Drosophila melanogaster: one gene and its partners. The gene in region 2 interacts genetically with the main gene of each other region. Each region holds a gene or a part of one and is shown on either strand. Other genes may lie near its edges.

Region 1 (9,825 bases), on a different chromosome or scaffold from region 2:
CACCACCACCACCGCCACACCCGCAACAAGCTCCGCCACCATCAATGTATCCACCCGACCCGTCCGGATATCCAGGCGGCTATCCACCGCAGGGGGCTCCCGGACAGAATCCAGTTAACAACCCAAATGCGATCCCCAATCAGCCTCAGGCACAGCAGCCTGCCAGCGGCCCGGGATCAGGGCCTGCCCCGAACTATCCTCCAGGCGGCTCGAGCGTTATTAATCATTCCCTTAAGGTCAACAAGGAATACAACGAGGACGGTCACCACCAATCTTCAACGTAGTCGCAGTCGAGATACAATGTTACATGAAACTTTAAACGTCGGATTGGGCCTCAAGTTTCAAGTCGGCCTTCAATACAATGTAGCAAAGTCGAATTAAAGATTTAAACAGTACTTGGAATTTTCACAATTTTCACAGTCTTTGATTAAATAAAAGAAAGAAATGTTCTCTTACCATTGTAAATAAAGACATTACTGAAAAGGTAAAACGAGATATTTTAGTATCACATATATTTCATAATATAAAAGGTACTTGAATATGTTTTATACACAAATGTACAAAATCATGTATGTACATATTAGGCAGTCTACTTTTCCACTATTGTGCTGTGGTTATACAAGTGCACGTGGTAGACGTAGCTGTTCATGCATTTCTGGATACTGAGCACTAGTGGGTCAAAGGGATGCCAAATAAAGGCGCACAATTCCCGTGGCGCCAAAGGATTTAAATGCCGGCGGGCCGTAGCGTGCAGTCTAAACTTGATTGAATCCGTGGCACGGTCAAGAAACACAATAGGATCGTTGCAGCAGCGATGGGGTTGCTCCAGAGGAGACACGTACCGACTGTCGTATCTAAATTCGTTGAACTTTAGATAGGGCGACGAGGAAAGGCTCTGGGAGCTGAGTGGAACGCTGGGGTTGAAGCGCAAGGCCGTATGTCGATCGACGGAGACCGATTCATTGGAATCCGCAAAGGTATGCCTTAGGAAAAAATGCATGGGCAATGAAGGTGCATCACCGAATTGCAGCGATCGATCATTGCTCATGTAGTCATTGAATTGCAGTAAGATTTGCAGCAGGTTGACGGAATATTCCGGATAAACGCCAACCACTTCTTCGCCAGTTATGGTGTAGAATACATACAAGCGGCGCGGTGATGTAGCCATGGGCATGGTATCGGTACCATTTGGCCGCTCTTCATAGCGCAACATTAGAAGTTCATTGTTCACCAGATGCATTCTCTCCATGATCATGTGTTCTATCTAAATGAGATATGTAAGGATGTGAAGACCGTTGTCACTCTTTATAATGTTACTTACATACTCAAAGTTTTTATAAAACGACTTCTGACTTTCCGTCGGGTTGCCACTTTTATCATTAATTTTACGGTACAGAAAGCTAAGGACGCGCTGTTTAATGTGCGTTATGGGCAAAACTGTGGTGGCGTCAAGATTGTCAAAGTCTGTGGTAGCCTTCTCGATAAAGTCCCTCGGCCTGGGACCAATAGTCTCCTGCTGGTGGAACTTACCGTCATTCACCCAATAGACGTAAACGCACTGATGCAGCCGGGACATCATCATCACTGTTGAGCCAAACACGGAAATTCCATGATTGTGGGCAATGACGATGGAGTCGTTAGGCAGGATAAGTCTATCTGTGACGACGCCTAGCTTCAAATCCACCAGAAAGAACACATACGAGAAGGCGTCCACTTTGTCGAACAGATCTGGGTACCGTACGTAGTCATCGACCGGCAGTGCGCCGCGCACAACGGTCATGGCAGCCAGCATGGCATAACGACCCTCTTCCAGGAACACACTGAACTCCCGGTGCAGATAGTAGAGGCCAAAGTCGCCTTGGCATAGATTCAGCGTCTCTTTTGTGGGAAACAGGCGTTCAAAGATCCTGCTCTTGAGTATGGTGTCCTGGCTACTGAAGCACTCGCCACTGCCTACATCCGCCTGGCGAATCAGTTCACCCACCGCCGCACAACTAGAACCCCCGTAGCTGTATATGAGCAGACTGCGCTGATCCTGCGAGAAGGCCAACAGTTTTCTGCCATCCGGCGTAAACTTGCGCAGGTAGATCGGCGGAATGGTAATCGAGTCAATTGTCAGGCAAGGCGTGATGCACTTGTAGAAGAGACGCTCGTAGGCCAACAGCGGCATCCTGCCCGGCTGTTGGCCCACGTTGGTGTATCCGGACTCGCGGTTCTGCAGCAGATGCACGAGGTTCTGCGATTGTAGGCGCTTCTTGTAGGCCATTCTGACAGATCCTGGGAAAGTTCTGCCAAGTTCCTATTCCTAATGTCAGCCGGGTTCTTCTTCCGATCGGAAGGTAACTAAAGTAAAGTGTGACCGCAGTTAGATTACAAAAATTTACTCTGTCTACAAAAGTTTTGTTGTTAAAAAATATAAGTATAATAATAATAATATTAATGCTTTTCAAGATTCAAATAAAAAACGTTATTTATAAATAAAATAATTCAATACATCTTACTTTACTTTGTTTAAAAAAATGTGTAAATGAATTATCTATGAAAAGCAAATTTAGATTTATTTATTTTTTTTTTTAAATAAAATTATTCTTGAGTGCTTTTAAATGCTCTAAGTATATTATGTATTTCTGAACCATTAGCCTCTTTGATTACGACACCGTTTCATAAACATTTGATGTATAACATTACATATATTTTTTTAATTTTTATCATTAAATATCGTCAACTTTTAATTCCAAACTTGGTTTTACATCACCTCATCTTTAGCTTACACAAATCCCGCGCAAACGTTCTAACGGTTTTCAAAAAACAATGTATTTTTCGAAAATTTTCGGAATTTTAAATTACTATTTCACTTTATTCAGAGTCGAAATGTTCGCAGACATATAAATATACACATCTGTTAGGGATTACGTTGCCCATTCCAGTGACTGCCAAGCGGAGACTATAGTAAGCTTAGACATTGTAGCCTACAATGTGACGCTTGCCGATGCACTCGCCGATGTAGAACCAGAAGATGACCTCGGCGGTCACCAGGGTGTTAAGCCAGGCCTCGCGAACCGTGAGGTTCTTGTAGGCGCCGGTCTTGGCTCCCTTGATGATGTTGCCCAGTCCTTGGCGAATGGCCGGAATATCGGCGGGCGTCGGGGGCGTCAGTTCCACCTTGGCGTACTTCAGGAACACGTCCAGTTGGGGCCTCGCCTGTGTGAGGAGCCCTGCAAAAAGTGATCATTACATAATTTTGCGATTGACAGGCGCCAATGGTGGTGTATCCATTCGATTGCATTCGATTCACGACACTCACTGTTCACAAGTCCTGATCCCTTGGTAGCCAAACTCGCCATCTTTTCAATTTGGTTCTGCAAGCAGTTGGAATTATACAAGAGGAAATCAACGAAATGTGCGGAAAACTTACCTATTCAGTGTGCGACGAAACAGAGATGTTATGCATTGGGGCCAGGGCTGGAGCACTAGTTATCGATCGGCGGATAAATACCAAAAATACCAAATATACATTTCTAAAGTTAATGGAAGAAACTGCAAACAGTAATTTTAAATAACGTTAATAAAATAGCTTATTATGGATAATATAGAGTTAAAATAAAATAAAATAAATTGAATATATATTTATATTTAAAATATTTCATTCTATACAGTAAATAAACAATATGAAATGAGTTACTGAAAATTCCCTTGCAAAATTTATTTAAATATAGTAATTAAAATACATATTACATTTAATATAAAAATAACTTTTTCCCCACCGCATCGTGCAGTATATTTGTCTGATTTTCCGAAATGATGAATCCCTGCAGTATTTTCGAACCACAAAGCTTCGGTCACACTGCAAAGGTGTGGAAATCTTAGTTTCCACAAAACGAGCAAATATTTGCAGTTTTCAAGCCCCAAATTGGCTAATTAGAGTTCGCATCGGATCGAATTTGCCACCGAACCCCCGAAACGGAAGTGGCTGCTTAATGTTTGTTGTGGTGCCAGCCGCCAAACGAAAAGTGTGACGGGCGGTGAGTGTACGATATGCTGTAAAGTGAGGTGGACTGTGTAAAACTAAGCTGCGCCGTTCAAAACCAAAATCAAAATCGCAGCAGCCACTACGATTAGAAAGTGTGAGAGATACCTTTGTGTGTGCATTGTTGCGATTTAGTGCGAATGTTTCAGTGCGAAAATCTGAAAGAGTCAGCCGTTCCGTCCCACACATATGTATGTACATTTACTTGGGTGCTGCTGCTGCTGCGGTTCATGCGTGTGTGTGAGTGCGTGACGGTCTAATTTGCGTTGGTGGGAGGCCGCCGACGATATACGTATATGCACGTATGGAATAGGTGCCCACGTAAAGGCCCCAGGTCGTAGCACCCAGAAACTGCCACCGAAAAGGGGGGCATTATCGACTAATCTCGCCGGGACTGCAAGGTGCATCTTGCGGGGGTGACTTGGGCGTTACGCCCTTATCACCTCGCTGTGGGTATCGTTTCGTGGGGTGTGGTCCAGACGTCGAGTTCGTCAGTCGCGCATATCACAAAACAATTCAAATGGCATTTTGGTGATTGTAATGAACACGTCTCATGGATACATGGATAAGCGTCTCGTGAAATCTTCTGCAATACCATTCTGAGTCTTGTTCATAGACGGTTTAGTATAGTGATGACAAAATTTCTTTTAAACCAATTTTGATAGTATCCAATTAACTTTTTAAACGTCTACTTTTACGGGAAAATTTATAAACAAAGTTAAACGACAATTTGGGAAGTACAATTTTATCGGAATGAAATGTCTTCAATTGATAATCAGCATAAAAAGAAATCTTTTTATTATTGATCCCAATTTGGCATGAGATTATGTAGTAAATCAGTAAATAAAGGGTTTTATATTTAATTAATTTTAAATGCATTAATTCGTATTAAAACAATTTATTACTTATTAATGCCGTTTTCAGTCGATGAGGACGCACTAATTTACGGGTTTGCCAATTTGGAGATAATTGTCAATCGCGCCCGACCATGCCGCTGCCCAAACGATCCATAGAACCCGTGCATGTGGCCCGCTCCGTGTATCAGCAGGATGAGCTGCAATCCGTGGAGCTGGAGACGGTCACCAACACCACGCTGACGAACATCATTCGCCAGCTGTCCTCGCTGTCCAAGCACGCAGAGGATGTGTTCGGTGAACTGGCCCGCGACGTGGGCAACATCGGGGATCGAGCTAACTCCCTGCAGGCGCGCATCGATCGCCTAGCTATCAAAGTTACCCAGCTGGACAGCACAGTTGAGGAGGTGCCCTTGACGGACATTACCCGAAAGAAGGCCTTCAAGTCGGCCAAGGTTTTTGATCAACAGATCTTCTCGCGCGCCACCATGCCGGCACCAATGATGGACACATATGCCCAGTGCGACAAACCGCCGCCCCTCGACAAGCTTAATGTCTATCGAGACGATGGCAAGGATGGTCTTAAGTTCTACACGGATCCGAACTACTTCTTTGAGTTGTGGCGACAGGAGATGCTGAAGGATACCGAACGTGTGATGCACGACAAGGGCAAGAAGCTGAACAGACCGCGGCAGGATGGCGGTGCCGGCGGAGCTGCTGGACGTGGCAATAAGAAACAGAAGACCAAAATAAGGGTGCCGCACAATACGCGCGAACAGCAGCGACAACGTGCACTGGTGCACGGCGAAACATTGATGCCCAACAACGTCATCTACCGCACACCGAATTCCATGGTCAACGAAGAAGCCGGATACGGAAGTAAGTACTTGGCGAAAGGGATTGGTCTCCGTGTGAGCCAAGTATTCAGTGCGAACCAAATTCATAGGCTGTTATTGGTACGTTCGTTTCGCGCACTGACTATTTGCACTTGTCTTGCCTATTGAATGGTACATCTATTTTAATTATCAATTATGTCCTGTCTGCCCGTGTAGTTCAGCTAGTCAAAATACAGACTGTGGGCGAGGCTGACATCGATTTGCGGCATAGCACTCTCGATGCGCACCACCAAGTTGTCGGTAATATCCAAGACGTAGGTACGATGATGGGGCCACGTAGCTTTCATTTCCGCCCGGCAGACATCCCACGATACAGATGTACCCGCCATTCATTCACCTACTTCACTCAAAAGCTCGCTAGTTTTCGATGCGCCTCAAAACCCAGTTCGAAGATCACTAATTTGTATTATTTTGAAGTTGCTATTAATTGAAATTAACCCACACAATCATGACCCAGAGAAAGGTGACCGAAACAAAGTTTCCAGAGCTTAAAAAATAAATGAAATGGTACTTAACATAAATTCCATCTAAAGTTTGATTAAAATCTCAGATACAGGATATATTCGATCTAATTCATTATTATTACACCATTAGCAAAATGGTCTATGGCCAGTCTAGTTCATCCTCCTGTAAGTTAGCAAGACTTTCGAACTTGATTTGTCTCTAATTTGAATTCACTGACTTTGTTCCAATGAAGTTCGTCTTGTTGATGGTAAATACAATACGGTCAGAGAACCTTACAATTTCATTCTCCGAATGGTCGATTATTTTTCGCAGCTTTTATTTATTTGCATGTTGTTTTTATGAACTACTCTTTCGTTGTTTTCGGTTATGATATTAATGAACGTGAACATAAATATGCATTGCAATTACGAATGGATCAATCGCGCATAACCATCTCATTTACAGATACAGTAAAGCCTTATAATATGCTTTCGCATTTGGAGAATAACAGTAATGTCACCAAGCAAACCGCCGTTGCGATTGCAGGTTAGACATCCACATCCACTTTTAGCAAGCTCAGTAAAGACTATATATGTTCTTTCACTCGCTTCTATCCCCATATTACCTTACTAGCAATCCTTTTTGAGTTCCTTTAGCATTTGTGTGTACAGAGAACACTCTCTTTTTCAAACTATCAATCGGAATGGCGATGATTTATGAGTTTCATTGGTCATGCAAAGTGCAGATTTATTATCTCAAAACACTGTAAACTAGTCACCTTCTAACTTGCAATTTTAATGTAATGTGTGTGCACATTATATTTACAATGCATCTTGCATTTTGCATAATACTTTAATTCATTTCATACTCGCGATTCGTGATTGAGCCGCAGTTTTTGTTTAGGATCCTCCTATCTTTCTGTTGTAGTTCAGTCAATTTCCATATCTACGTCTACATGTCACTCTGCAGCTTTACTAATTCCTTTCTGTCGCCACATCTTATTCTACGAAAGTATCTCTAAATTGTTTTCTGTGCAACGAGCTAACAAAGACTTTTAATCGGATGTTTGTATATTCAACAAAATTTCTATTCGAGTCCAGCGGTCTCATATGCACAGAAATTTGGAATTGCTTGTAATTACATATGTGTCTTATTGTTCCTCGGCTGTAATTACAAAATAATTGGCGTGTTTTTAAATGAGATGTGTGTCCTGTAAAAACGTTCATTTTAATGGGTGGTTAGTCAACGGCTCTAATATCTCACATTCATTATTCTAGATATGGGAGTGTACGATACACGTCCGCCACGTCCTAACTCGATCGAATTGAACCGAAGCTATCAGTCGGAGCAGATCGATGGTAGCACCTACGAGCAGCTTCCACCGCAGATGGGTAATCAGTATGCTGCCACCTTCGGCAACGGCATGGGTGGCCCCCAGCAGATGCACATGCAGCATCAGCAGATGTATGACGCCGGAATGTATCAGTCGCATGCGCTGTACGGCCAAACTGGACAGGGAGTGATGTCGCCGGAGCCCATCTACGGACCGGGAACACCGTCGCGTAACAAACCGCGTCCGTCGCAGCCGCCACCGGCTCCGCCATCGAATGGCAGCGGTGGTGGTACGCCCACAGCCTCCAATGCCAACACTCCGACAAGGGGCAGAAGTATGTCGACCAGTCGGGATGCCTTGCCACCGCCTCCACCAGTTCCAGACGTCATTTCACCAATGTCTGGCATGAACGGAGTCAACAGCGGGCATATGGCGGCCAAACTGCTTGGCCGGGCGAACAGTTCGTCGGGAGCTGGATCTCCCAACAGCGTCCAGAATGCCAATGATATGGTCATGACGCAACTGAGCAATACTTTCCACAGCATCGGTATGACGGGCAATCAACTGAACTCCCTTAGCGACTTGCCGCCACCGCCGCCGGTTCCAGATCAGGTTTGTTGTTCACTGATGGGTGTTAATATATCACAATTTGGTTTAATTTGTGGCAAAACCTTACAGCACTCGCCTAAGATGTCGCCACCTAATGCCGCGCCACCACCGCCGCCGCCACCGCCTCCAGTCGAGGAAGGCATGGGCAGTGGCAACCAACACACGCTGCGCCCGCATCAAATTCTTCCCAAATCACTGGCCAATGGCGAAATGCAGCAGCCCGGCCAACAAAATGGTGTGCCTCACATTGTCGCACCCAAGAAGATGCTGCCTCCATTCCATGACCCACGCAACGACTTGATGAAGGCCATTCGAGATGGTAAGTAATTGCCATTCAAGGTTCGAATGCAAAAATATCATCAAATTAATCTTTCCAGGTATTACTCTACGTAAAGTTGAAAAGTCAGAGCAAAAGGAAATTGAACGAAACGCGGCGCCATTGGATGTGGCTTCAATCTTGGCCAGACGTGTGGCTATCGAATTATCCGAGTCCGAGGATTCGGATAGCGAAGACGACAGCGAGGGCTGGATGGAACCGAACGAAACATCGGCTTGATCCCTGATTAACTCGTTAAAGCCTGACATAATTCTAAAAAACAAAAAGAAGAAGTAATTCCAAAGAGAATTAATCCATACGATGGTCGAAACCAAGCGTGGTATGAAATTGGATTACACAAAAGCACCAAAGCTTTTCTACCACCCTTTATACAATATACACCTAATCCTAAATAATATGTCTAAAATCAAAAGTTTCATTGAATTGTATATACACCAACGAGTAATTATCGTTAAATTAATCGCTATAGTGAACGAACGCATTTGCATTTTAAGCCTAGACGACAATCCAAGGAAAGCGATTTAAAAGACTTGCTAATTTTGTTCGCTTCTTTGGAGTCAAGGTCTGAGTAGATATGGGCTTCTGTATCATAGTAGTCGGTGTTTGGATATTAAATTATAAATAATCGATATTATCACTGAACTCAATCCTACCCCAACTTGCAATCGATACGATTAATATAAAACATTTATCCAAAATGAAAATTTAGAATTTTGTAAATACAAACACATTAAAATATATCGAACTCCGTAGCATTTCAGTATACTCAACAAGCTATGAAATTGTATTATCCTTGTGAAAGTTAAATACCTGTATAATTAATAAAATATGTTTCACGAATATAAGCAGCCATGAATGTGTGGTTAAGTAAGCAAACATGGATGTATGTAATTTTTCTTTACATAAACTAAAATATACAATAAAAAATAAAGTAATTATATTCCAAATTAATGAACATGTCTTGATAGATAACTTTAAATGTTTGTTTGGGAATTTCCTCTGGTCTTATGCTTAAATACCAGAATCTTAATCCTCAATTTTGCTTTTGTTTGAAAAAAGAGCAGTAATGCATTTCAAATACAAAATATTTAGTCATAAATGCTGAAGTGCTTAGCAAAAGTAAGAAAGTATTGAAAAAGTATAAATGTCTGGGCTAGTTTCATATATGGCCTCTTAGTAAGGATTAATACTCCATTCTAAATTATATCCAATTATAGATAATAAAACTTCTTTTCGAGCGCGTTTTGCGGAATAGAGTGCAAGTTCGTACCCACGAGGGTAGCTAGCTTCTTAGCGTACTGGCAAACTGCTGGCACTCGTGTGGT
Region 2 (6,711 bases):
GTGGCTTTTGGACGACACGGCAGGATTGCGTCCTGGACAGATCATAGAGCTGAGGATGCGCCGAATGCTGTTGTGCCTGATGCTGTTCATCCAGCAACTTGGACAGACTGGAACAACGCTCCTTCTCCTTTAGTTGCGTCATTGCGGTGGCTCCAGCTGCCGGTGGTATTGTCGTAGAGGCATTGGTGGCTTGTCGCAGTTTCCTGGCCTTCGTGCCCTGTTCGCCGGGTGTCTTGTACAGACGCTCCCTGCCCACCTCGACACTGGAGGCCGATGTGCTGAGCGGCAGGATTAACGTGGACGCTGACATGGCCCGCTGGATGTCCGCTTGGCTGCAGGAGCGGCACACTTGCACCGGATCATGCTCCACGGTCAGCTGAAGCATCTTCTCATTACTCCGTATCAATTTGTCGATCTGTTCCACGGACGAATCACTAACTGGTGTGCCGTTCACCTCCAATATCCTATCTCCAATATGCAGATTTGTAAGATTCACATCAATTCTGGATAATAGGAAATAAATCAATAATTAGCAAAGTGTTACTACTAGCTTAGTTGTTGCTTTTAATTCAACTCAGGCACATTTGTTACCTATAAGGCGCCCCACAGCACTGTTCCGCCATCGAGGTTAGCCACAAGAAGAAGTTACAGAACAAGCTATTTTTTTTTTTTGGGCAAGCATGTATTAGGGAAATGCAGAAAGAGTCGAAGGACGAACGCCCAGCGAAATTAGTTGGCAATTAGGACTAGACCTAGTTAGCTAATGTGCAAACTTTAACAAATGGCAACCAAAAGTGAGTCAGATTGAAGCAATAAATTATATACAATCAAATAATAGTTATCATTTCACAATACGTACTTCGTAGATTTGAGCCATGGTAAAATTTTTTTCAGTACAAAATGTAACCAAAAAGACATTCTTCTTTAAATTCATATAAAAAAAATGTTGTGACTTGTGTGTAAAAAGTGAGAAGACGGCTTGGTTTGTATAACATATGTACATTAAACGCAAAGGCAACTTAGAAGTTCAAAAAAGAGTACAATCTGATCTTTGAAAAAGATCTTAAAAAAAACAACAAGAAACAAATGTAACAATAAAGTTAATAAATAATGCAAATGCATGCATCTCAATGAGTTCATTGATGTAAATTATAGTAATTTCAGTTAATTTCTTACTCTGTAATGCGGACCGTGGGACAACCATCGTCGAGGGCCACTCCGTCGACCCTCAGGCCGGGCGTGGCGTCCTTGGGTATCTCGACCAGACGGATGGAGTGCATCGGCTTGCCGGCCGTTGTGATCCGCGCCTTCGCATCCGCCGGCTGGCAGGAACGTTTGCCATAGCACTGGCCACAATAGAGCTTCGAACGCTCGACAAGGGCGTACGATTCGCCCTCGCCGATGAAGGAGCCGCATGCCGTGCAGCAGAAGCACTCCGGATGGAATTTGTGCTCGCCGGCGACCATTACGGGTCCGGTGATAACGGCCATACACTGCTGACAGGCATCGCCGAATCGGCCGTAGTAATCCTCACGACAGTACAGTAAGCCCTCCCGTTCGAAGTACCAGTTATGCAGATGGCCCTCGCAAACGGAGCAGCGAAAGCAATCGCAGTGCCATTGCTGGCCGAGAGCCATCACGATTGGCTCCTCTGGATGTGGCAGTAGTTGACCCCGACAATGGGCGCACAATGGTGAGTGTCCTCCGGACACAGGTCCTGATCCTGCGCCCAATCCAGTGCCTCCTCGTCCGCCATTTGCCCGCAGGCGCTGCTGATGATGCATGGAATGTTTTTGTGCCTTGGCCCGATCACGTTAGCACTGTGGGTAAAGAGCAGGGGGGCGGGAGGTTAAAAAAAAGGTATTAGTCGATGACGGAATAGGTATTAAATATAGTAAATATAGACCAGCAGTCACGGAACTTGGCCAATTATCGTCAACAGGTCGATATGAACCAGTGGAAACTAAGCAAATATCATATAGGCAATGTAGGTCTATAAATAAGCTATCTTTACCCATTATCATTAACGTTGAGAAAAAAGATATCTACAATGATATCATACATGAAATGCATTTATTATCAACTAATATAGTATTATATTAGTTTTTCTAACTGATTTAAGTGTTAATGATAGGAAGGTTTGGCATTTTTCAAAACCAATTGCATTCAAAACTCTCCGTGATTTTTTATGATATACTGGGACAGCAATTCGAACTTTATTGCTAAAGCGATAGCCATGTAAATATTTTTGCGTACTAAACAAAATGACCGAACAAAACAAAATAATTGAGTCCGGTAGTCATTAGTTTAGGGTTCAGTGATAAAGACTTCGATCCTGAGTCAGCTGCCCCCCATCGGAATTCGCTATACCGCCTGATTTCCATCATCGATTTGCATGCATAATCCATGGATATATGCATATGGACATACATATGTATATGCAAATACACATGAATGTTTGTGTATTTATGGATATAGCTCAACATTGACCGTGAAAACTCCGGTTGATGCAACAACAAACGCGACTCTTTGGATCAACTGCAATCGCAATTGCACTTCAGCTGAGCTAACTGTAGTTGTTGTGCACGTCCCTCTTCCGACCGCATAAACATGACCAATGAATGACGAATGCACACGCACACACTTGCACGCGCGCACAGTGGTCACATGTGAGCCGTGCGTTAAGTGCAGTCCAAGCTCCATTAGGGGTTAATGTGCCTTTAATCACCTGCTTAACCCATTGAACTTTTACTTTAACCAACCATATCACAGTGCTGTGATTTTGCTTTGAAGAGATTGGAAATGAGTGGGTGTGCCACCCTGACTGAAGTCTATAAAATAGCCAAGACAAGCTAGGTTTACGAATGGAACGAATGGTAAAAAATCAAGTAAGTTTGAGTATTTGTCGCACTAGTCCCGCTAGAAACTAATTCCGTTTAATCAACTATGGTTATCATAACTTGCGGTCCAATTTTTGTTAATTAAGTCAATTAATTCACTCAGGCAATTTGCATATTTTTGGACTCCAAAATTCAGGAATGTGTCCACTGTGCGGAGGCAGAAGCACACACACACACGCGTACAGGTGCTGCACACACACACACACACACACACATGCACGCGCTGTTAGAAAATGTGTGTGGGGGAACGGGAACAACACGACATTAGCAAAGCCAATAGCAACAACAACTGGTTTTTTACTTAGATTTTATTGTTTTTTGCTGGACTTGTACACTAAACTAAACCAAACACACACACACACTTACATAATTGTTCGTTTGTATTGCTATTGACTTGACGCACATTGCACATTTGTTGGTTTTTCCTCGCCAATTTCTTATTCGACTGTAATTCCCGCCAAGCAATTATTAATCGCAACTACCGAAATGCCGCGGATTTTGTTTAAATGCCGACGCGACGCACAGCTCGCTAACTCAAACAATAAAAAAGAAATGCATAATAAACAAAACAACAACAAAACTACACAAAATAAAATACAATTCAGCCAGTGTGACCGTAGGACTGTCATTAAAGAATCTCAAAACTATCGTCTAGCTGCCAATCAACTTAAAAAATATATAAACTCTTTAATGAACAAATTTTTTATTATAAACACGCTGCTTGTCACTAACAAGAAATATTGAACAGAATTGAATATTGAAATAGTTTTTCTTTAATCTTCGAGTGACCGTATATGAGTATGGTTGTAGAAATAATGCGGTCCCATTGAATATATTATTTAACGGAAATTGGGATTTCAAGTGTTTTATATTCAGTTTTTCAAACTTTAATTTAAGTTCACGCATCCCATCTATTTTTAATGAACCCGGTGAATTTAGCGATAATGACAATGAAATACTTTCTGTTTATAACAAAAACAATACTGTCTTCAGCGTTTATTTTATTGTATACTTATTGTTAGCGTCTCTCACCATTTTTGTTTTTGGTCAGTTGAAAACAAAAAAAAAAGTGAAAACATTATAAGAATATTAAATTAAGTGTATAGGGAATCATTCAATTTGCCTAACATCGTCACTATCCTTGCGCTGCGTTTGCCCTGCCACCGAAGCTGCTGCTCCCCACTGTCACTGTTGCTGCGGAAGTTTCTGCGGCAGTTGCAATTGTTGCGGCTGTTGAAGTTTCTGTTGCAGTTGCCTGCTGCTCCTTGACGGCCACAACGTCCTCCACCGCCTGGACTTGCTCCTGGATGTCCCGTCGTTCCTGCTGACGCACCAGCTCAAAGTACAGGCCCCGCTTGCCCATCAGTTCGTCATGTTTGCCGGTCTAAAACAAGGGAAAATATAAATATTTCTGAAGATACCAATGGTCTAGGACAACTCACCTCCACGACGCGTCCCTGATCAAGGACGACAATGAGGTCAGCGTTTCGTATCGTGGACAAGCGATGGGCAATCACCAGAGTGGTGCGATTCTGGACCACTGTATCGAGTGCCTTCTGCACTTCCGCCTCGCTGGTGGCGTCCAAGGCACTCGTCGCCTCGTCGAGGATGAGGATGCGCGGATTCTTGAGCAGCGCCCGTGCAATGGCGATGCGTTGCCGCTGACCGCCGCTCAACTGGGTGCCCCGTTCGCCCACATGCGTCGCATATCCATCGGGCAGGGCGGTCACAAAGTCGTGCGATTGTGATAGACGCGCTGCCGCATACACATCCTCCTCGCCCGCATCTGGTTTACCATATCGGATGTTCTCCAATATCGATGTGCCAAACAGCACCGGCTGCTGTTCGATGAAACCGAGGACATTGGACCGCAGCCAATAGGGCGATATGTCCGACAGCTTGTAGCCGTCCAGTTTGATATTGCCCGCCGATGGTTCGTAGAAGCGTTCCACCAGCGACGCTATCGTCGACTTGCCCGATCCACTGGCTCCCACCAGGGCCACCGTCTGGCCCGGGCGGAGCGTCAGGCTAAAGTCCTTGAGCACCAGCTGTGAATGAAGCAAAAATTGACATAGGAAGTTCATTACTGTTTGCATTGCCTAGACTCTAATCTTTTTATCACTTAGCCGTAAATATTGGCCATAAATGTTTGTGGGTATTATAAAATGGTTATCTACTTGCGGAAGCGATAAGAAGTTATTCAATATTATATAAAAAAGTGGCGAGTTTACAAATTACAGAGCATCGATTAATGTAAATATGCCATCATTGTCTCGAGAATGAAATGAAGATATACTTTAATACAACTCACATGATCGGGTTGCATGGGATATGCGAATGAGACGTTCTCGAATCGAATCTCGCCGTGCAGCCGCTCCTGCGGGATGATGTAGCCGCGCAGCAATTCCACCTGTGGCTGCAGCGATAGGAACTCGAAGACTCGACTGCCGGCCGACATGCCTCTGATCATGGTGCCCAGCAGGATGGATCCCTGGGCAAGGGATCGCTGCACACCCTGCGAAGCGACCAGGAAGGCCATCAGAGCACCCGGCGACAGACTCTCCGTAGACATGAGGTGGCCGCCCATAAAGAGCGTAGATAGGACTAGTGTATTGAGGAAGAAGTTGGTCAGGCCCTGGAAGATTGCGATGCCGTAGCCGAGTTTCTGCGCCAGGCGAGCCGCCTCATTGGTCTCCGCCTCGAACAGCTGCATCTCGCGGTATTCACAGGCACTGGATCTAACCGTTCGGATGTTGGACAGCGCCTCCTCGCAGACACCCGTCGCTCGTTCCGCCTGCGCCTGTGAGCTTTTGCTTAGAGAGCGCAGTTTCTTGCCCAAATACGTCATGAACATAACCACGCACGGAACGCTGGCCAGCGCAATGGCGGCCATGTGCGGTGAAATCATGAAGAGCGATATACTGCCGCCAATCAGCTGGGCAGCACTTCGCAGTCCCTGGGAGACGAACTGCTTGAACGAGGTCTTGAAGTCCTGTACATCGGCGGTTAGTCGATTGACCAGCTCGCCCGTTCGATTCTCATCGAAGAATGCGATGTCCTGGACGACAATCTGCGTGAACAGATCCTGCCGCATCTTGGCTGCCATCTGCTCACCGACGCGGCTCAACAGGTAGATGTACATAAAGGTGAAACCAGATTGCAGCATGTATAGGCTCAGCAGATTGCTGGCCGGTTTGCTCACGTCCTTTACGAACGAGTTGTTAATCGGATCCATCACGTACGTGTTGGCATATCTGGCCAGTGTGTTTACCAGGTCACCGAGAAGATTTGGGATGCGTATGTTGATATAAGCCACTATCAGGGCGGCCTGCAAATGAAATTAGCTAAATATTTTGACAAATGCTACACCTGTTCGTGGGCTTTTTGTGATCCAAGAACTCACGCATACGGCCCCGATCAGCTCCCAGAGATGTGGCTCCAAGTAGGTCCACAAACGCTTCCAGTCGAAGTGCTGCTCCGACGCAGTGTCCTCCTCCTCCTCCTCCTTTCGAATGGCCAGCCGGCTGCCTTCGCAATGAACGATCGCTCCGCGATGCCCCGCCCACCAGGAACGGGCGCCCAGACCGATAGCTAAACTACCACCGCCCCACACAAGCAGGCGTGTCGTCTGCAGCAGGCGGCTGGCATTTGTGGGCGGTATCGCGGGCGGTTGGGGAGCGTTCGTTCCACGCAAATGTTGGCGCATCAGGCGGGCGGCATTCTGGAGGCGTGGCAGTGGCTGCTGCGTGGGCTGCAGCAGGTGGCGACTAAACAAAGCGAAATAGGCGGTTAATAATAGGTTGGCTGATTG
Region 3 (6,815 bases), 6.6 Mb from region 2:
GTCGCCGCACTGGACTTGGAGTAGCCCAAGAGCGACCGCGACTTGACCTTGGTGGGTGGTGTGGGCGGTGTGGTTGGTGTGGACGGTGCGGGCGCTTTGGCTGGCGTCTCTGACCTTTGACACCGGCACCGCTCGTTGTCGCTATAAATGCCGCGGCACAAATCGCAGATGTTCTCATAGATGTTGCTGCTCTCGCCGGAAATCGTCGAAAGGGGCGGTGGCGGTGGGGGAGGCGGTGTACTCACCACGCCCCCGCTCACGATGCACTGGCAGAAATGGCAGTAGCGTCCTTGGGCGGCAAACACGCCGTAGCCGCAACCCCGACAAAGATTCTCGTAGATCGCCTCGCGCGGAAAATACTTGCGCAGCTCCGCATTCAGGTGACCTTTGGGGGTGGAGGTCAGGCCCGGCAGATTCTCGTAGATGTGCGCCTCCATGCCGACGTTATCGTTAATGTCCTTCGCCTGCTGTGGCATCTCTCTTCTTTATTTCTTCTTCTGCCTCCCTACTTTCTCTTATCGCCGCTGCGTCACATCGTAATTCATTATTAAGTGAGAAAATAATCGCCGAGCGGGGCAATTGGAGAGATAGTAAGTGAGAGCACTGTCATCGAGAGAATTTCGTGCACCGCAAAAGAAATGTCGCGAAGGTATTTAATTAACATAAATTCGATTTGGAAATGCTCGAATGGCTCTTCTTAAATTTCTCACTCGAGTGAATTGAATAACTTGTAATCTTCGATTACTCACTATTATTTTTTGAGAAACACCCCAAAAACGACCTTAGTTCTCGCAGTGTAATCACTGAGAAAAGTCAATGGGCTTGAACTCTTTAAGTGATGCCACTACCCTCATTTTCTTTCTTTCTGTCTCTTTCCCTCCCGCTTCCGACTGCAATCAGCGATATTCATTATCTCAGCCAAAGTCGCTGCACTCTGCACTCAGTTTTCCTCCAAACCATCGGCTTTGCCTTCAAAACACAATTCTTTGGCTTGACTTTTTTTAAATCTGGGAATTTAAAGGATGAATTTTTCGAATCTAATTGCAAACAGCTTTTAATAATATGACCCTGTTATCGTGAATTTCTTTACCATTTCTTCTAATATTTACATATATTAGCTATTTTGATAAAATATTATTGGAACCCATTGCTGTATTCAATATATGTGTAACTAGACCCAATATCTCTGTATATTTCACGCCCAAAAAGATCCAGAGCACTTATCACTAATCAGTTTAGAGCTCTAAAATGAATTGTTTGTTTGCCCTAAAACATTTGATGCTTAAATGCAAATAATGTTTAAAGTAAAAAAAACCCCAATGCATTTCATCTGACTAGAATTCCACAGTGCTGCTTCTGCTTTTGAGCTTTGTTTTTCGTTGATATACGGAGATGAGTCACTAACCGATCCACCAAACCATGTCGGTCCTCTCGTAACCCCCGTCCTTATCCCTCGGACTCAAAATGATGGCCATGACTGGGTGAAGAGAGCGGAGAGGGGCGAGAAACCCCAGAGAAAACCCCGGAGAAACAGAAACAGGTTGGCGGCCAGTCGAGAATTGTGTAACGATCGTCGACTTCCTCACCTACGCCTCACAGGTGCCGCCAGGTAGATGGAATGTGGAACATGGTGTGTGGAATATGGAATGTGCTCAGTTCACACTGGCAAAAAATAGTAGCCACTGATTTTGGGAATTTAAAATATTACAAGAATTCTACAATTCCTTCTTACTGAAAAACCAAAACGGAAATATGCAAAATTTCATTTTACATATATTAATATATGTATATTCTATCTTTTTTTTTCAAGTGCACAGTTATCCCGAACGGAAGGCGAGAGTGAGCCTAATGGAGTTAAGGTGCCAAGAAACGAGGGTCCGTGCATTAATCTTTCGATCGGCGTAAGTGGGGAAATCATGTTTATCTCGATGGTAGATCTTGAAATCTTCTTCGGGGGCTTCGTATTATTCGTAATTCTTTGATCTAGGATCGCCGCCATTAATCATAATCGGCTTGGGGCGGAAAGGGGAAACCGGTTAGGGGTTTTAGGTGCTTAAAACATGTTTCGCATTCTCCAACACCACCAATTGTTGTTACAGCGTCATTTAAATAAAACTGATTCAAATCCAGTCGAGAGTAGCCTACCACCATATTTCAAAATACAACAGATTTGGATCGTTAGGTACCACAAATGTTGGTTGGTTGGTAGGTAAAAGCGTTTTCACGGTGTTGTTAATCATACTTTGGTCTAGAATCAGGGTCAATGGTCAATGGTTGTCTTGTTTGCTTGGACAATAACCTGTATTATTAATTTTCAATTCTTTATAATCATGTTTGGGTTGTCCTTTAAAAGATAATTTTACAGAACATTCTATAAGATATTCATTTCTCTGATAAAAAACACACAAATTATACAGAAACCGAATTTATTTAAATAGAAAATCTTGATTAATTACTTGCGTGATATATTAACAATCCGAGAAATAATTTAACAAAGAGCCATACACTTAATTGTTCCAAACTATTTGAATTTTAATAGCAAACAAAAGGCTTGTGGAATTCTTCATAACTGATTGACTGTGTTTTCACTAATATAATTGTTGTGGTCTCATTAGGAGCATTTCTCTGAACTAATTAGCTTTCTACAAAATAAACAATTCTTAAATTGAATCCCTAGGGTCTGAAGGTTCTGAAGCATAGTTATTAATAAATAAGTGAATAAACTATTTAGAAGCCTGACATCACTGGGCTTGTTGTTCATTTTGGAAATTTTGAAAGTATATATTTCAAATCCTTCATGACTTAAGAAATGCTTGCGATTCACTTTAAAGTGTTAAAATTTCATTAATAAAATGTTTTTATGTACTGATACGAATCACCAAAATGCAGCAATAGCATAGAAAAAATATATTGATACCGAATTCATATACTTTTTTAAAAATTTTCATTCAGAAAATCCGTTTCGTTATAAATAGCTATAAAAATAGCTGTAGCACAACCAATTGAATATTATATTTTTTAATATGATTATGATATATATTTTGTTGAACCCAATTAACTAAGTTTAACTTCAAACACTGGCAAAATACACAGTTTATAGTTTGATTCCTCAAATACAAAAAAAACAAAACCGCAAAACTTTGGTTTTTCGGGCGCCTTGGTGATAAACTTGCATACTTTTGGGCATTCGATCGAGACCTTCTTGACCCCGTCAATAAAACCTGTCCAAATTGTGCAGCCCCCAAGGAGACAGCAATGCAATCAGTGTGGATTGTGGGTAATCCGCTGATTTGCCTATGCCGATGATTCATCGCCGTTCATTTTCAGATGGCGCGACAAATGAATAAATGACGATGAATGCCATTGTAAAAGCAATATACTGTAATTCACAAGAAACACATGAGCACACACACCCATATTATGGGCGAAAGGAAGGAACAAATAAAACGGGATTGGTCCCGTTATCTCGCAGCGCTTATCTCACTTTCTCTCCAATTTCCCCAAATGCACTGTTTTATTATTAAAACTATTGTAGATCGATCGAGGCACTTGGTGGGCTTCAATACCGAAACCCGAGCACCAAAACAAAAAGCACCGATTTTGGCCAGCACTGATAAGCCGAGCTTTAAATGGGAGCATTACGAAATTGGGCTTGAGGTGGGGCTCTCCATCAAATCGGGAGCTGCAGGCGCGACGCGTTCGCGAATTTAACAGAATATCAACTGAAATTGAACTCAAGATGCCGCCGAGAATTTTCTTGGGTGGCGGTCCGCCTCGTAAGCGATTGACGTCGCAGTCGCCGCGCAGTCGCAGTCGCAGTCGCAGTCGACGCCACGAGTCGGTGGCGGTGGCTATGGCTATGGCGATGCCGACCTCCGGTCACCCAGGGAACTCGAGCACTCCACACTAGTCAGCAAAAGTGGGCACTAACCCCCAAAGCCCGCAACAAAATTTTGTTGCTTCCGATGAAAAAGCAAGTTGGGAATTATAAGCGGGTAATTTCAAATATTTCAGATATTCAAATGAAATATAATACATATATTACAGGATATATCAGTATTTTTAAAAACTATAAATGCTAACTATATATGCCAGCCTTACAAAATTATATCATCAATAAGTTTCTTTAGAATAAAACTTTTTAAATTAATATAAGATTCAATAGAAATTCTTGCCTTGTCTAATACATTTCTTACAGTTATTTACTTTTATAGGCAAAGTCTATGGATCATTATTATGACCATGACTATGGACCATTATGAGCTGTGATTCATCATCGGTGAAACTATGACTCATGTCAACCGAGCTTGAAACTATCCTTCGTACCCATGTCATGCTGACCAGTGTGGGCCAGAGATCAGTGATGGGGAGGCAAAAGCCCAGAACAGAACAGAACAGCGCAGAGCAGAACAAACCTAAAACTGAACTGAAACCGAACCACATGTGTGTAATGGAACATGGGCAACATGTGTGGCTCTGTCTGGCTGTGCGCCACCACATTCACGAATGTGCGTGTGTGTGTAAGGGTTGGGGGTGGCATGGGCTAATGAGGGGGTGAGAGGGTAAGGGTGGGGCGTGGCAGCGACAAAAGACGCTTTTTATACTCAACGCCCGTTGCCTAATTAAGCATATCGAGTGCGGTCCCTGAAGGAGGGTGGTAAAGGGGGGGGGGGTGCTGTCGAGGGTTGGGAGTTTGTTTTTCAGTTCGGCTGAGTTGGGAGTAGGGGGTGCAAAAAAAGGGGGGGGCTGGGGTCGGTTCTGGGACCGCAGAGGGGGCGGTGCTGGGCGGGTGGATCGAGCTGTGTAAGTAACCATGATGAATGCTAAACACTGTTCAATTTATGCACAACAGTTGCGTAAACCGATTACGATATGCATATACATATGTACATACATACTTTTGCTCAACACTTTATTGCAAGCAATTCCGATATGAAAATGAGAACTGCACTTTCAGCACGAACCGTAAGCTCTCTTATTTCTTATTGAATTTTGAAACCAATCCTCATAATCCTGTTCCTCATAATACTGCTCGCAATCATGTTTTGAAGATCCATATAGTACACGACCGATATTTACAAAAATCGGAATCCATATAAAACAGAACCGGGAGCAAATAGAGAAAGAAAAGATGAGGATGCATCTTTGGGGAAAAAACAACAATTCCGGGGAAGAGACTTAAAAAATAGGCGAATGAGAGTGAGACTGAGAATGAAAATAAAAATAAAAATGAAAATGAAAATAAAAATGAAAATGAGCAGAGGCCGGCGAAGAATCGCATTGCAGCCGATGTTCAGCAATATGGTCGCTTGATCTTTGAACTAAATTAATTAAGCACAATGAACACAATTGTTGTTGTTGGCTTCGCTGCCGACGGCATCAAATGTATCCACCAGATACGAATACAAATACAAATACAGATGCGGATACAAAACAACAAATACGCACACATACCGAAATAAAGAAATGCATTCAGGCTGTGACCAACATTGCATTCAACTGTTTGCTATCGGCTACCCTACATACATACATATGTACTTTTATGTATGTATGTGTATATGCAGGAATATACCAATAAATCATAGGGTTTTCTAGGGTTGACTAAGTGTGGGATTTACACTATAGATTTAATATCTATCTTAAAGCACGCCACCACATATGAGTTTTAAGTGCATAAATTGAAACCCAAATATATTTAATATATATTTATTCGGCTAATAAATTATGAATTATATCTCGGAGTAGGGCATTTAACATTCGCAGTGCTTGGTAAATTAATTCCTGAAGAACATATTTCTCATGTTTTCGCTTTCAGTTTCCATCTTTTTTTTTTTTTTTTGCCCCGACTCATATTTGGTTTGGCTTTTCTGCGGGTTCCTCGGCCGCCTTCTTTTCCCGAAAAAAAAAAACAAACGAAGAATTAAAAGGGGTGGCCCACGGCTCATGGCCCGTGGATGATGGTTGATGGCTGATGGCCCTGTCCAAGTCCCGTCCATGTCCCAACCAAATCCACAGCCCCGTCCCCACTCACATCCACATCCACATCCCTGTCCAGAACCAGACTCGCGTCTTTGGCAGCATTATGTTTCCGTCGGTAATGAGTTGGCAGCGACTGCAACTCAGTGTTGTCGAGATCCGACAGTAAAAACCCGATGGATTCGAGTAACAAGTGCATTTCAATATTTCAATGTGTATATAATAAGCCTCAATATGCAGTTATGATAAGCGGAGAGATTCTATACAATTTTATCTAATCTTAAATGTGTAGTATATCCTAAATGTATAATAATATCTAATAGTGTGCATAAATAAAGTGTATTTTAATAATAATTTTAATTTTTAATATTTTCAGTTGGTTTCTGAAAATGCAGAAAACTTCATTCTCAAATAATTTGCAAAAGATTAAAAAAAAATGCTATTTCTTGACTAGCAATTAAATAGTTGGAATGGCAACTCTATTTCTGCGTTGAATGTTGCATGTGGCTGTATTGGTGTTTACTCCCCCTCCCCCAATACATGCATCCTCTTCACCCCCCTCTCCACTGAGTTCACTTTATGATTATTATTGTTGGACGGCGGTCTTCTCCTTTTTTAATGAATTTTATTAAGCGCGACAGCAGCAGCAACAGATAGATCGAGTTGAAAAGAGGGGAGTGGGGAGTGGCTGTGTGTAAGTGTGTGTGTGTGTGTGTGTGCTGGGTGACCGAAGCCAGCAGCTTTTGTCAACGCCTCAAAAGTAAAGTAAAGAGCTGCTGGTAAAATAATAAAAATACAAAAAAACTGCCTTAATTGGTACTTTTTATTGACCATCGCCT
Region 4 (6,697 bases), on a different chromosome or scaffold from region 2:
GAGAAAATTGTGTAGACAATTACAGCACTTGACTCCTGATGCTGCAGCTGTGTGTATCTTGATTGTAACTTTTGGTTCTTAGTGCCACTAAAAATTTTGAAATTAATGAGATGTTCTTGGGGTGGCAGCTTGAATAATTTTGATGGGAATTCTTCAGTTTGAAATACATCTATCCTTTGAAATACATCTATAAACATAATAGCAACAAAATCTACAGAAAATAGCATACCATTTGCAATTAGTTGAGTATTCATTAAGATAGTTGAATATAGTAACATATACCTTTTAGGGCACCAAATGATGAAACTAATTTTACCTGCTCACAATATCCCCGACAGCATTTTACCTTTGAACCCGCCAGCTGATTCTGTTTTGGCATCCTCTCTCCCGCTTATATCAATTTACATTCCATTTGCCGCAGGACCTCGCCCCATCATCCCTCGACCTTTCTTCGTGGAAACCTTCATTTGCAGCTCACCCGGCCTGCTATCCATCCATCCAGCCAGCCAGGAACTAACCAACCACCACGGCCCACAAGGATATGAAAAGCAATGCACTTGACACTTTGCCGGCCACTTCAGCTGGGCCAAAAAGTGTGCTTCACTTGATGTCCTGTCGGCGTTTCATTAGATGCTTCTGATGGCAAAAAACTGCCCCAAGAGATTCTTTGGCTGCTGTAATTCCTTGTTTTTTTTTTTTTGGGGGGGAGCATGCCTCAAAGCAAAAATGTACAGCGCGTATTTCAATTTGCAAATGATGGGAAATGCCTGTGGCACGGAAAATTGGGAAGGGCGAATAGCTTATGTGGGCCAGTAGGGGTGTAAGTACACACACTTTCAACTCGGCACCATGGCAACAATTTTAATTCAATTCCATTAAAAGTCGCTAAGATTGAACATACATTCGCAGCTGGTGTGTGTTTTTGTTGTTTCCTTCTGGGTTTTGCTTTTCTCTTCTCTTGCAACCTGTCCCTCACTTGGGCACACAATCAAACTAATGTTTGGCGGTAGGGAAAACTAATGAAGCGAGCAGTGAAAACGCGACGATTGATTGCTCCCCCGAGGCAACGAGGAAAACAAGAGCGAAGAGCGAAGGGCGGGGGAAAATGGGAAAGCCAGATGCAATCCAGCAGGAACTGCTCTCAAAAGCCCTCGATTTTGGGAATCATCTGCAGTGCACTGCCTCCAAACTGCAATTCCGTGACTCGTTCTTCTCTTTTTTTGATAATTTATACTCGAGGACTCGGCCGTTGGGGGTGACATTTGTTCATCGCCTTTGCGGGTGGGTTTTTCCGAAAATGGTCCTTCGAGGGGTAAGCCAACACCTCCCCTGGGGTGTTTGAAGATGCATAATAAGACTTGTTAAGTTGCTCGCTCGTTAAGATAAGTGAGCCGGCAAATGGCGACAAGTGCGACTACGGAAACAGCCCGCAATGATTACCGGCTTAAGATATGCGAAATTATCCATATAGATAAGATGCTGCGTGGGGTTCCTTCCAATGGTTAATGCGGCGATTCACATTACGGTAAGAGGATTATGTAGGAAATGTATGAAACCTAGCCACATGCACTGCAATATTGAGAGGGTCATAAGAGCTTCACCAAAATAAGCCATTTGCTGGTGAGCCCCACCGAGCTGAACATTATTGTGGCACTTTTCGGGCTGCATCTTAGCATTAAAACCCAGATTTGCATAGGTAATAATAAAGTTCCCTTTTGTCAGGACAAGCCATCAAAGCTAACAAAGATAAATGATTTGTATTTTTTGGGAAAAGGTTTTCTTTCTTCTTGAAAGTCTTCGAAAAATGTCTGGATAAAAATTGAATTTTACTTTGTAAGCTGAAGCACAAAAGTTCTGTTTAAAATAAGAAGTGGTTTAGGTTTTCGGTTTTTTTCTCCATTAACCTAACAGATGCTTCTATTAAGCTTCTTCTTTTTGTATGTCATGGTGATATTTTATATATTTATATCATTAAATATTCACAGACTTACCTCCATATATCCCTGAACACTGTCGCACTGCTGAAGCACCAAAATGGCCGGATTCGCACGCATTTCTTCGGGGGAGCAGGGCGATAGGAAACCACTATCCGCATCGCTGTGGGTTGATAGAGGTCGTGGTTTGCGTATCTTGTACTGGACATGTCGACTAGGCACTGGGCCCGGGTTGAAGAGCACATAGTTGGACTCCGTTGGAACCGTGTGCGAACGCTGATCCTTTCGCTGTTGCTGCAACAACTGTTGCAGGTGCAACATGTGATCCGTGCTGACCAGCTCGGAAATGGCACGTTGCTGCTCAGAAGTATTTTTGTCGATAGACTTTTTGCCACTGCGAAAGGGCGAAAGATTCAGAAATGTCAGCTTTTTCTTCATCGATTGCTGGGCGGGATTGGCCAGGGAACAGCTGCCCGCGGAACTTGCTGAGTTCGTTGAGGTGGATGATTCTACGAGGGCCGTGGATGTGGTCTCCGTATCTTTGGACTCCTGGCTGTTCGACATGCTGGCAGTGTTCTCCAGTTCGTTGAAGAGCTTCTCCAGGTTCTGTTGCTCCAACTTGGCATTCACCAGCTGCTCGTTGGTATAGGGATTAGGTATGCCGATGTCCATGGGAAAGTTCGCTGGGTCTATAATAAAGTAGTTGTGGTGATCAAAACTAGACATGGTCTCTGAATTTTTGGCAGTCGGTTCTGCTTCTGATTCCGCTTCTGGCATAGCTGAAGTCTCTATGATAATAGTCTCCTCCAACTCGAGCTCCTCGTTATCGTATATTACTTCTGGCACCAGTTCATCTTCATCCTCGCAGACCAAGTGCTGTCTTGAGCTGAAAAGGGGATCCCTCAATCCGTGGGCTTGAGTACTGGGATATCTCATGGCTTTCTCGTTGATAAAGTCCACGGGATCAAAGAGACAGTAGTTCTCCATGTGCGAGGTGGCAGCCTTGCGCTGTCTCACTGGTAGATTCCTTAGCTTTTCGGAGTAATCCGCCACATCTTCATTATTATTGGCTGATTCTGGAGCTGGAGGAGGCGGGGATATCTCCTGACTGATGGGCCTTTCCTCCTGCTGCTGCAGCGACTTCTGTGAGCCCCTATGAAGGGTGGCAAACAGGCCACGAGCTATGCAGTTCTTCAGCTCACTCACACGTCCTTTGTAGGGACTCGACTGGGCACTGCTGCTCAGGATCGAGGATTCGTCGATTCCCAGCTGCTTGCTGAGCTCCTTGCGCTCCTTCTTGCTGAGCACCACCTTGCCACGACTGGGCGTATTGGGGGCCGAGTGGAGCAGCCTCGATGGCATTTGGGAGAGGGGCGGTGGTGTGGGAGGCAGCGGATCCCTGTACGGTGGTGGACCCACCAAACAGGTGGCATAGCTAACTGGTAAGTCCGGATAGGCCGTACTCTGCGCCGATGCCGTGGGATCCGTGGCAAGGAACTCCAGTTCCATGTAGTTGGGATGTGGCAACATCTTCGGTTGATTCTGATGATGATTGTCCGTTCTTTGGCTCTTGGGCTTGGCGCCCAGTTGGTTCTCCTCATTCGCATTGCGATCGGGCTTGGTTGAGGAACCCGGACGCAGTTTTCCTGCCTGACTGGACATTTCTAGGGTTTCACTGCAGCTTCCATGGGCTCAGCACTTTTCACTCACACACTCACTCACAAATTTTGTATACATTTTTTCGCCGCTTGGGCCAAATTAATGGCTTTATAAATCTTCATCTTTATGGAGGGCAAAAACGCGTTAATGGGTTTTCTAGTCTTTCGACCAAAAAAAATAAGGTCCTTTTTCCATGTCCTCTCTCTCTCTCTCTCTACTATCTCTGTTTACATTTGTGTTTGTAATTGGATTTTTTAGCTGATGCATGTCAAAGTTAAATTAAAACTGACCCAGCTGGTCGGGGGAAAAAAAAGAGTTATACGTTTCTAGGTTGTTTTTGCGGGCAAAGAGTCATAGTCATGGTCATGGTTACGCCGTGGTTTCGTCTGCTTTTGAAGTGTTCCAGAATGCCGCCGAAACAATGCCAAAGTCGAGCTTTTTATAATTTGTCTACAAAGCAATTAACAGGAAGCCAACGCTGCAGGGATTGCGATAAATGGTGAACAATAATACAATTAAAGTACTGCACATGCGGTTTTAACTTGAATTTGTGCATTGAAGCCGCAGAGGTGGATACATATATATTTGCAACTTAAATGCTTTAAATTGAAAAAACCGAAAAGCATTCACATACATTTTTCTTCAGCTTCCGGCAAACAGCACAGGTATTATTTTGTTCGTGCAATTTTCGAATAAAAGCGATTGTGCGATAGAAGCTGGAAGGGAAATTCAATACGAAAATGCATATCAAGTGCTCGCTAGAGTTTCACATTTGATTAAGTTTCATTTCTCCTTCAGTTTCCCCCCGGTCGCAAAAATGCAGACATAACGGAGATATCAATAACAAATTGACAGCAAATGGATCCATGAATTTATTAAGTGGAAAGCGAAGTGAACAAAGGAATGGTTCATCACTCACGTACAGGTATCTTTTCCATTACACTTGCTGAGATTCGTAGAGTAAATGTGAGTAATCCAAATAGATATAACAAATAATGAACAATGCCAAAGAACAGCATGTTCGCCAAATCGAGATTATCCCAGCATTGTTTCCACTCGGAAAACCAGCAATGAACTTTTAATTTCCTTTATTTCAGCCCACTCACAAAACAAAACTATGACGAACATTTTTCGCCAGGCCAACGTGGCAACAACTGAGAGGAAACCGAAATGGAAAAAGTTTTATTGGCAACAAATTGAAAACCGCCTGGCCATTTGAGTCAGTGAACCAACAAGTTGCATAATTGTTGGCGCATGATAGAATTAAACGCCTCGCAATGAGCCGATGTTCCAATGGCTCCTCTTCTTCTTCCTCTTCATCCTGCTACTTCCGTTTCCGGAAATGGCAGGCTGCAGGTGGCAGAGGCGAAAGAAGTTACTCCAGTTAAGTGGAGTTTCTCTGCCGGTGTCTGTGCCTGCGTCCCATAAAGTATACTGAAAGTAATTTGCAATTAAAATGTTAATTTTTAATTGAATTGCAGATGGCAGTAGGCAATGGCAGTAGTCTCGAATACTGAATCAAGTTAATTAGTGTCAAAGTAGGCAGCTGAAAAGGGGAGGGCTGTTGGGCAGCACTCAAGCCCAAGGTTGATTTATCCAGATTAGCAAAGTATGCTAATGAAATGGTGATAAATGCAAATAATATAAAATTCCAGTTTGACTTACTTCCCAGATTAAATGCAATTGGTAATCCATCTTCTAGGAACAACACAGTTTTTCTTTACATCACCATTACGATTGTAGTTAAAGAAGCAGAAATGTTAAAATCTATTCTACAAATGTGCTCTAATCAGTTGAATCTATACTTTTATAACTGGGCAGTACACGTATTAAATGTTTAACTCCTATAAGGCCACACAATCCTTGTCTGCGTCCATTCCCCTGGGCTTAAAATCCCCCTGAAAGCCACGTGGATAGTGGCTCTCTACTCCAGCATCACCTAATCCCTGACACTTTCAGTTTCCATGACGATTCCGTGAAATGGGGACGAAATGGGGGCAAAAAGGAAAAAAATGAAAGGACCCCGAAGAGAAAGGCAGAAGGCAGGACTTAAAGTTAAACACTTTTGCTTTGAGGTTGAAGTTGCTCGCACTTCATCTGCCTTTGCTTCCAGCTGGCAGCAGTCAAAGTTGACAAAATACTTGTCAAGATTTGCGCATTGAGTTGAGTCCTCCTCTTCCAACTTGTAATTGCAGTTTTGCCGTGGTCTCTTTCAGCTCTGCAGCTCTGAAAAAAAGAACAGATTTCCACCCACTGGGAAAACCCGACGTTTTGCCGGAGGCCATCAAGCCGCAAACTTTACGAGTTGATAGCTGAAATAAAGTGGAGCATGCATTCCGTGCCTTTTAGCCCGCCCACCCACTTCATGACATCATTTTATTTGCACTCAATCTGAGTTCTTTTAGCGCCGCTTTCTGCGCCCAACACGCTGTGCAAACTTCGCTGGCAAGTTGGTTAGAAATGCTTTTGATTTGCTAGTGAGTTGACCAGAATCCCAGCCCCTCGACTCGCTTTCCACACAAAAGCCCACTTTTGAAAAGTGCACGCTTTTCTTTCCATCCTTCAGTTGCTCTTATTGCACCAAAAAGCCCAACCAGAACCCAAAACGTTATTCAAACAAAGAAGAGAAGTATAAGTATGCTGAGGTTTGCCAGAAAAAACTCATAAGTACGCCTTTTGTGTGACTTCTAGATACTCTATCCACTAGATTTCATTTGAAAATTGCATCAAAACAAATATATTTGGCGAAAATTCTAACAAACATTGAGAGAATTTTAAAGGGTAGGTATAAATTCATATAATTCAGTAAATTCTTGGCCAAACTCCATATGGAAATTTTAAATTACAGGGCATAAATAAAGTGCAAAGGCCGTACCGAAAAAAGTAAAAAGGGAATAAAAAGAGCCAACTACAATGCGTATGACAGTTTGAAACACTTCTAAGGACTTTTGAGTTGCGCCGCAAGTTGGGGCGTGGTAGGCGTGGCAAAGGACCACAAAAACAACGCACAACTTCCGCTCCAGCTTGAGGGCACAAAAAAATATGTATAAAACTAAATCAGAATCTATGTGCAATTCAATTAAAGCGCAATTTGCAGGCAGTCA

Evidence for each region.
Region 1: of LIMK1 (region 2) and SCAR, changing one enhances a phenotype caused by changing the other (phenotypic enhancement), as found in Drosophila melanogaster (one study listed by BioGRID).
Region 3: of LIMK1 (region 2) and RhoGAP18B, changing one suppresses a phenotype caused by changing the other (phenotypic suppression), as found in Drosophila melanogaster (one study listed by BioGRID).
Region 4: of LIMK1 (region 2) and sick, changing one suppresses a phenotype caused by changing the other (phenotypic suppression), as found in Drosophila melanogaster (one study listed by BioGRID).

Annotation. Positions count from the first base shown.
Region 1 is NT_033779.5:10,972,947-10,982,771, forward strand, and holds SCAR (SCAR), read left to right. Parts: upstream 1-3,825; 5' UTR 3,826-4,124; intron 4,125-4,951; 5' UTR 4,952-5,015; coding exon 5,016-5,760; intron 5,761-5,933; coding exon 5,934-6,035; intron 6,036-6,686; coding exon 6,687-6,767; intron 6,768-7,498; coding exon 7,499-8,166; intron 8,167-8,232; coding exon 8,233-8,482; intron 8,483-8,540; coding exon 8,541-8,719; coding exon of another isoform or gene 8,720-8,776; 3' UTR 8,777-9,449; downstream 9,450-9,825. Other genes in the region: CG16743 (uncharacterized protein), read left to right, coding at 1-284; abo (abnormal oocyte), read right to left, coding at 590-1,264, 1,322-2,266; ATPsynG (ATP synthase, subunit G), read right to left, coding at 2,956-3,215, 3,305-3,344; piwi (P-element induced wimpy testis), read right to left, coding at 9,712-9,825.
Region 2 is NC_004354.4:12,588,665-12,595,375, forward strand, and holds the start of LIMK1 (LIM domain kinase 1), read right to left. Parts: upstream 3,530-6,711; 5' UTR 3,267-3,529; intron 1,821-3,266; 5' UTR 1,785-1,820; coding exon 1,177-1,784; intron 1,020-1,176; exon of another isoform or gene 919-1,019; coding exon of another isoform or gene 860-918; intron 685-859; exon of another isoform or gene 658-684; coding exon 592-657; intron 504-591; coding exon 1-503. Other genes in the region: CG1824 (uncharacterized protein), read right to left, coding at 4,036-4,284, 4,343-4,948, 5,212-6,228, 6,304-6,667. UniProt on the Drosophila melanogaster protein: Protein kinase which regulates actin filament dynamics. Phosphorylates and inactivates the actin binding/depolymerizing factor tsr/cofilin, thereby stabilizing the actin cytoskeleton.
Region 3 is NC_004354.4:19,154,478-19,161,292, forward strand, and holds the start of RhoGAP18B (Rho GTPase activating protein at 18B), read right to left. Parts: upstream 3,725-6,815; 5' UTR 3,643-3,724; intron 525-3,642; 5' UTR 477-524; coding exon 1-476.
Region 4 is NT_033779.5:19,824,173-19,830,869, reverse strand, and holds the start of sick (sickie), read right to left. Parts: upstream 4,397-6,697; 5' UTR 3,597-4,396; coding exon 1,992-3,596; intron 1-1,991.